2 linked regions of the Caenorhabditis elegans genome follow. The protein of the gene in region 2 interacts with the protein of the main gene of each other region in a pairwise test. Each region holds a gene or a part of one and is shown on either strand. Other genes may lie near its edges. The genes, in order: ZK899.6 and mys-2.

What was found.
Region 1: the proteins of mys-2 (region 2) and ZK899.6 interact in a two-hybrid assay, tested with the Caenorhabditis elegans proteins (one large-scale study listed by BioGRID).

What each region holds. Positions count from the first base shown.
Region 1 is NC_003284.9:9,461,541-9,465,349, reverse strand, and holds ZK899.6 (C2H2-type domain-containing protein), read right to left. Parts: upstream 2,006-3,809; 5' UTR 1,995-2,005; coding exon 1,910-1,994; intron 1,863-1,909; coding exon 1,756-1,862; intron 1,707-1,755; coding exon 960-1,706; 3' UTR 609-959; downstream 1-608.
Region 2 is NC_003279.8:14,117,078-14,121,983, reverse strand, and holds the start of mys-2 (Histone acetyltransferase), read right to left. Parts: upstream 3,232-4,906; 5' UTR 3,227-3,231; coding exon 3,071-3,226; intron 2,948-3,070; coding exon 2,781-2,947; intron 2,038-2,780; coding exon 1,815-2,037; intron 737-1,814; coding exon 572-736; intron 1-571. Other genes in the region: TLC domain-containing protein fld-1, read right to left, coding at 3,792-3,857, 4,183-4,277, 4,581-4,701, 4,796-4,904.

The sequences.
Region 1 (3,809 bases), on a different chromosome or scaffold from region 2:
TACTGCCTGATATTTAACTGAAAGAAGTTAATTTACAGAGAAACACGACTAAAAATATATACCTTTGAAGCCAACAGGTTCTGTTAAATTTTTGTAAGTGAAAAAAACATTGTTCGAAGTTTTTTCTCAGAAAAAACTATATGCTCTCTATACCAAAGAACACTTACAAAAATTATTATTAATTTTCTAAAACTTGGAAAGTTCTGCAACTGTTAGATGAATAACACATTTCTGAAAATTTCGACACGTCACATTTATTGATCGTGACCTTGTTTATGTATAGGTCGAAGGGGCACCAGACGGCATTGTTGTTGTGTTTCGGGAGGACACACAAATATTATCAAGTCTAGATGAAAACAAATAAAGTTTATATTATTCCCCCATAAACCATTTCAAATCATTAACTTGTTTAGAGGGTCATTTCCTGATCACGGAGCATGGAGAGTCATGATTTATGTTGTTAAACTTCTGATTGCTAAACAATTGTCTGAAGTTTAGATCGAACAATCATACAACAATAAAAATATGTACTCTTCAACGATGTCAATGCAAATGCTGCCTCATTTCGATAAAATTGCATATTTTCTACATTTGTAATATTTGAGAACTTGTGTGTTGAGAAATGTAAAAAGTGATTTTATTTCATGCTATTGTAAAAGTGCGGTTTTAAATCATTAAGGCAATGACAATCAAGCAAAGAAAGGTGCAGTGCAATGCTGTGAACAAGTGAACAAACAAACAAAAAACTACAAAGCAAGTTATTCAAGAGAGAAGGAGAATCAAGAAGCATATTAAGTCAAAGAGATCAATGAGTGAATAAACTAAGATTGGAACAAGAATGGAGCAAAAAATAAGTTATTTTCTGAAACGGAATTACTTCAAATTTACTGAGCACAACTCAGTTCAGCAATGGTAGCTTTGTAACAAAAACAAAAATTTGTTCTTTAAATTGAGAAGTTTTACATGGTTTCGACATCAATCATTTCCTCGTCAAAGTCTTCAAATTCAAACGATTCTTCATTGACTTCCTGATCAGCAGCGTAGACGATCTCCATACCTTCATTGTTGATATCTTCTTCTCCGTCGTCCAATTTATCAGAATCATACTCATCCCAATCAGATTCCTCCACCTGCTCATCCTCTGAAACATCGGAAGTTTCTGTGTCAGTAGCGTCTTCCATGTGATCAATGCTTCTGGACATTCTTTTAGTTGGGAAAGAGTAGACAATACTTCCAGTTCTTTCATCTTTCTGTTTCTTGATCAAATAACGAACAAAGACGACATCAATCATATTCGAAACGTCAATCATGTAATCCTGGTACTTTTCAATGAAGTACTCCGAGAGTTCATCGAAATGAAGATCAGGTCCAACAGGCTCCAAATTTGGGATAACTCCTTCGGGCAATGGCTGCTTTAGATCCTCTCTAATTTGAATGATGCGCTCATCAGTTTCAAAGTACTGGAAGAGATTACAGAGACTATCATATGAAGTAAGCATGTTTCCAAATAGAGCTTTTGAATTTTGAATGAACGTTGAGTACTCGGATTTGTAGTTCGTGCATTGTTTGGAATGAATAATCACTTTGGCTTCTTCGTTGAAACGTTCCATACACATTCCACACTTCTTGCACTCAGATGCTTCATACAATTCAGAAACACGTTGAGTCATCATTAAAAGACGATTTCCGTGCATGTGCATGTGATACTGAAAGTAGAAAACAATTGAATTTTAATTTTACAAAGATTTGACTTACATTCAAATCGCGTTTTGCATTTTCGAGACATTCATCAATATGCTGAATAAATGGGATTTCCGAATCGAACTTTGAACTGCAATCTGAGCACTGTAACTTGTGGATATCTGAAGAAACGCTATTAGTCAAGAAATTGGATTAGGTTGTAGCTTACTCAAGAAACTGCGACAAGTGTTGATGTTTATTGGAGTTCTCCAAATGTCGAAAATTCTGTGAGGAATGCTAGTGACGGGAGTCATTCTGAAAATTGTCAAATTAGGGCTGAAATTAGGATTTTAAACAATATTATGAATAAAAAAAACAGATAATCGGCTACATGTCATATTGACACTCTGTCTTCCGAAATGACGATACTTTCAAAAACCTACTAGTGCATTATAAGAAATTTACCAAGAAAGACGATGGAAACAATAAATTAGTTACAACAAAAAAGACAGATTTTGGGTATTTTGAACTGTAACACTTGATGATGGACTTAAGATTTGTATTTAAGCTGGGGTACAGTTTGCGACATATATATTTTCACAAAATTAAAACTGATAAATGGAAGATCAAAGCATGAATTGAGCTTAAACATGCATTTTAATATAAATACGAAGATTTTATATTTAAAAACTGAACTTCAATCGAAAGTTCGTATGTTTCAGATTCACATGTTATGATTTTTCTTGAAGATACTCAAAGAAAGACACGTGTGGTGAACTTTTCAAGTTTCTGCTTATTGAGACCGCATTCATTTTTCATTCTTCTATTATTAGCGTGTTTGAATCAATAAGTTATGCTTGAGTAATGATTAAGTTTTACTTGTTTCTCGGAATCAGGTTGTAAGGATCCTTAGGTAAAGATACGAATTAAAATTATAAAATTATAACTAAAATCATTTGAACAAACGCAAATCAATAAAGAAAAAAAAATCGGAGATTTTATTTGACTGTTCAAATTGTTCCCCGCCGTTTTCTTGAAAAATAACTGTTTCTGCTTTTCACTTTTCTATTTTTCGTAAGGGTTTTATCTTCTGAAAAACTGTTTCCAAAAAAATAAAGAATAAACTTTGTCTACCAAGAAAGTGTCCTCTCAACCAGGGCTGCGCGGCAATCGGACAATTTTGGCAATTGCCGAAATTGCCGAAATTGCCGATTGCCGGACATTTTCGGCAATTTTCAAACCTAATTATATTTTGGAAAGTGAAAATGTTCACAGTGTTTTATAGTATTCGATCAGTCATTTTCTTAAATAAAATGGTAAATCATTGTAGGATTAAAACATTTCGAGCTTGAAAAGAGAAAATTGTTCATTGAAATGCCTCTTTAGGCTCGTAAATCTACAAAGAAGTATCAACTTTACATTTCCGGCAATTCTGATTTCCGGCAATCGGCAATTCCCGCAATTGCCGGTTTTCAAAATTCCCGGCAATCGGCAACTTCGGCAATTGCCGGTTTTGTCTTATAAAAAATGGGTTTCAATCAAAGTCAAAAGTGATTTGTACCTACTTCGATCAGAAAATATTACCAATCAATTCGTGACAAAAACTGATGTTTTCTCAAAAAAAATTGCGCATTTACAACAAATAGTTACTTAATTTATCGATAAAAAAGTATACATCAACGAGAAAGAACACTTTTAGTCTGACTTCAATTAGAAATGAGTTACGCGAGATTTGAAAACAATAGTTGTGCTCTGGAAACACAGATAGCGAATATATTTAATTATATGTGATATTCATCTTCAAATTTTGTTTAATTATTGCAAATGTACTAAAAAGTGTATTTGTGTTTAAATCTATTCAAGTAGTTTTTTCACAAACACGGACATGTAAATAGGATTTTTTTAAATGAGCATTTTTGACGCCAAAATCTCATTATAACATGTATCTTAGAATCTTTAAGAAAAATCATGAAATGCAAATGTGAATCGCGTGAACCTTCGATTAATGTTCATTTTTGCTGATTATACGTAAGCTTTCCTTTGAACACTTAGAGGTTCAATACATGCTTCAATATGCCATATCAGTTTTACCTTTTTATTGATAAAATATATATATATATATATATATG
Region 2 (4,906 bases):
CAATCTACAAAAAAAAATGCTTAGCCATTTTGTGGGCGGGGCCTGTGTTAAGCCACGCCCCTTTATAGAAGAAAAAGTAAATTTTCAGATTCCTACAACTTTTTTTAAAAGAGAAAATGGGAAAAATATGCACATTTTTCGGTTTTTTTAAACCGTTTTATGGGCGGAGCCTGTATGAACACGCCCATTTTGTGGGCGGAGCTTGTCTGACCACGCCCAGTTTTTAAGGCCAAAAATGCAGTTTTTCATGGGATTTTTCGAGAAAAATGCTGATTTTAGAGTTTTTTAGAAAATTATTCAGTAAAACGACTACAAACTACATAACCATTTTATGGGCGGAGCCTAAGCCACGCCCTTTTTCGGATTATTTTTTCCATTTTGTGGGCGGAGCCAGAGCCGGAATTTTTTTTGGGAAAAAAAAAAACTTATTTTGGAGCTTTTTAGGCCAAATTTGTGCGGAAAAAAGGCTACAAACTACAAAATGGATCGATTTTTCGTATTTTTGGGCCAAATTTCCGGTTTTCTGGCTATTTTTACGGGAAAAACTGCCAAAAAAAAAGCATTTTCTCACATCAATGTGCTGCTTGAATCGTTCGTGATGAGGTGTGTAGAGTAGGCAATATTCACACATATAAATGTCCAAATTTTCACAGTCAGGCGGAAACGGTGAATAGTACCAGGCGAGAATCTCGTGAGCGCCTATCGTTATTTGTGGTATGTTCTTCACTTTTGTACGCTGCAAAAAAAGTAGGATTTTAGGGGGAAAAATTGATAAAAGTGCAAAAATTGACTTAAAATCTCGATTTTCTGGCTTAAAAATTTGAAAACTTGATTAAAAAGCTTTAAAAAGTGGGTTTGCCATTGAAAAATTCACGTTTTACATTGAAAAAATGTTGGTTGAGGCTATAGACTACAAACTACAACAATTTCAAGCCTCAACCAATTTTTATTTGATTTTTCTATTAAAAAAAGCGGATTTTACACTTTTTTGAGCAGATTTTCCGACTTTTTTCGAATTTTCTCTCAAAAATTCCGTATTTCTTCAGAAAAAAAAAGAATTTAGGTGAATTCGGGTGGATTTTATGGGAAAAATCGATTTAAATGCAAAAAAAGTGACTCAAATCTCGATTTTCTGGCTTAAAAATTTGAAAACTTGATAAAAAGCTTTAAAAAGTGGGTTTGCCATTGAAAAATGCACTTTTTACAGTTAAAAAATGTTGGTTGAGGCTATACACTACAAACTACAAAATCCTAGCCTCAACCAAGTTTTTCAGGAGAAAAAATCGTGTTTTTCGGGTAATAAAGGGTGTTTTTTAATGAAATTTGCCAGATTTTGGCCCATGTTGGAGCGAAAATTGAGAAAATTGTGATTTTCAACCAAATTTTTCGATTTTTTTCGATTTTTCTCTCAAAAGTCCCGTATTTCTTCAAAAAAAAAAAAGAATTTTGGGGGAATTCGGATGGATTTTATGGGAAAAAAATCTATTCAAATGCAAAAATTGACTTAAAATCTCGATTTTTTGACTTAAAAATTTGAAAATTCGATTAAAAAGCTCAAAAAAGTGGGTTTTCCATTGAAAAATTCACTTTTTTTACAGTAAAAAATGTTGGTTGACGCTATACACTACAAACTACAAAATCCTAGCCTCAACCAAGTTTTTAAGGAGAAAAAATCGTGTTTTTCGGGTGAAAAAAGGGTACTTTTTTAATGAAATTTTCCAGATTTTGGCACTTTTTGGAGTGAAATTGAGAAAATTGTGATTTTCAACCAATTTTTTCGATTTTTTTCGAATTTTCTTCAGAAAATCCCGTACTTCTTCATGTTCCCGTTCTAGCCGGGCGGTCGTGGCGTCCAAATCATTAAGATCCGTTTTTAAATGTGAATATTCTTCCAATGTCCTCCGCTGACTTCGTGTTAGGGCTCCAGATGGCTTTATGACGGGCGGTCCGACGACAATTTCCTTGTGTAGATCTTCGACAGGCGCTTTTGTGGGCACTTTGATCACCGGCTCGACTACCACTTCGTTTACGAGAATTCTGAATGAAAATCGATAATTTTTTCGAATTTTGTAGTTTGTAGTCTCTCTAAGTGACTACAAAATACAAAAAATTGTGAAAATTTGAGAAAAATCGGCGAAAAATGAGAGAATTTTGATGCGAAATGGATTTGGTTTCAGATTTTGTTTTTCAAATTTTCACGATTTTTGTAGTTTGTAGTGGGAGAACCTCACCTAGAGGCACTACAAACTACAAAAATATTAGCCTCACCAAAAAATGTTGTAGTTTGTAGTTTTAGCAATTTGTAGTCCCAGCGCCTCAACCATTTTTGAGTGAGGCGCGGAGACTACAAACTACAATATTTTAGCCTCAACCAAAATACGTTTTTGCTCAAAATATTGCAAATTTTAGCTTTTTTTAAACATTTTCAAAAAAACTTATCAGATTTTGCTAAAACTACAAACTACAACATTTTTTGGTGAGGCTAATATTTTTGTAGTTTGTAGTGCCTCTAGGTGAGGTTCTCCCACTACAAACTACAAAAATCGTGAAAATTTGAAAAACAAAATCTGCAAAAAATGAGGAATTTCTAAGCGAAATGCATTTGGTTGAGGCTATCTATTTTTGTAGTTTGTAGTCTTCGAGCCTCAACCATCATTGAGTGAGGCTCACAAACTACAAACTACAACATTTCTCAGCCTCAACCAAAATACGTTTTTGCTCGAAATTTCGCGATTTTCATAGATTTTTGCCCATTTTTCTGCAATTTTCTCCACACGAACTTGTCCAGCGTAATCCATTCATCATTCCTCCGATCCAACTCCTCATAATGCACATAATACATGAGCTCTTTCGCTCCTTGCTCGTGATTCTCAATGGATTTATAGTTATTCGTGCGGACTTCTTGCGGCGGTTTTCGAAAATCAATGTGTATAATTACGGCGACCACCTGGAAATTTGATTTTTAATGGAAAAAAAAGAGATTTTTCTCGAAAATTTTCAGGAAAAATCAACAATAATTTCTGGTTTTTAATCGATTTTTTCACAAAAAAAAAAAAAGCGATTTCCGAACCTTTTTCACAGTATTAATAATGAATTTCTCGACCATATATCGTTTGTTAATTATTGGCATTATTTGTTGTTGCGGGGGTTCACTGTCATTTCCGCCGGGAGCAGCTGCCTCATTTGTTGAGTCGTGTGCTCGTTTCCTCGGCTCTCGTTTGCTCATTTTGTCTGGAAATTTTTGCTGAAATCGGCTGAAAATCGGGTCGAAAAATTCGATATAAAACACCGTAAATTACAGTTAAAAATTTAAAAATTTAAATTTTCAAAAATCAAAAATCGAGTATTTTTAATATAAATTAGAGTCAATTTCGTGTGAAAAAAAAAATTTAAAAAAATAAATACTGTAAGCAGAGAAAAGCGTCGTGGAACTTCGTGATATCATCAAAATGACAGTTTGCATCTTTGGTGCGCGGCCAAGATAGACATGGAATGAGTGATTTGGTAAAAATTTGGGGCTAAAAAATGGGGGGAAAAATCAATAAATAACAAGTATTACGGTAGATACAGAAAAAAAAATGGCAAAAAAAGCAGGAAAAAGTACTGAAAACGTCGATTTTTGGTGGAAAATCTGTTGGGTGAGGCTATAGACTACAAACTACAAAATTTGGCGAGCCTCACCCAATTTTTATCAAATTTTCGCGATTTTTCGCTTAAAAATCACCAAAAAACCGAAGAATTTCAATTTTTAACAGATAAATAGGTACAATTGGGGGAGCGGCGGGGTGAGTTCAAACAGTTTGTGTCGCGTCTTCTGTTGTTCCATGAATCGTTTGCACTCCGATTGTGTGATGGTCCTGCAACAAAACAAATAAATTGACTTAAATTGTAGTTTGTAGTCATTATGCTCGATTTGCGAGAAATCTAAACGGGAAATGAGTGAAAAATTCGAGAAAATCACGTGAAAATGACCTAGAAATCGATGTTTTTGTAGTTTGTAGTCTTTGAGCCTCAACCATCTTTGAGTGAGGCTAAGAGACTACAAACTACAAATTCAGCTCAGCCTCAACCAATTGGTTTTCGCTTGAAATTTTCGCGATTTTCATCGAATTTTTCTCGAATTTTCACTAAAATTTCGCAAAACTGATGAATTTTGGGGTGAGAAAATCCAAAATTTCGAACCTCATCCTCAACTTGTGTCCTAAGCGGACCACTTTCCACGTCACCAACTTGTGTTTCTGCGGTAGCTGCGGGGGTTCTTCGTGTACGTCGGGAGCCTGAAAATATCGAAAATTGTTTAAAAAAAAAGGAAAAAAAAAAGGAAAATTGGAGTTTTCTAAAGCATTTTTTCTCCAAAACAATGGTTGAGGCTCGAAGACTACAAACTACACAAAGTCCTCTGAGCCTCAACCATCGTGGTTGAGGCTATACTGGTTCTGTAGTTTGTAGTCTACAGCCTCAACCAACTTTTTTCTCGCTTTTTCCTTCGAAAAAATCGTTTTTTCTTCAAAAGTTCGGCGTTTCGACTAAAATTCGGCTGAAAATTCCGAATTTTTCAGTTAAAAACTTAAAAATCTCACCCAAAAGCCCATCAGCTGCCAAAAGCCGGTAAGTGAGCACTGTATTTGTGGAGGCGAGCGAGGCGATGACTAGACCGTTAATAATTGATACATACCACTCGAGATCCGGAATTGAGACCACCTGGAACATGGAAATTGTGCAAATTTTGCCGTGTTTTTAGTGAAAAAATCATCGAAAACTCGATTTTTCCACTGAAAAATGCACAAAATCTCACCACAAAATAGACTAAATACGCAGAAACGCAGAGACGGAACGCGAAAAGTGTCACCATATTGAGCAGAGCGATTATACGGAACGATGGGCTCTTCTTGTCGACTCCGTACCT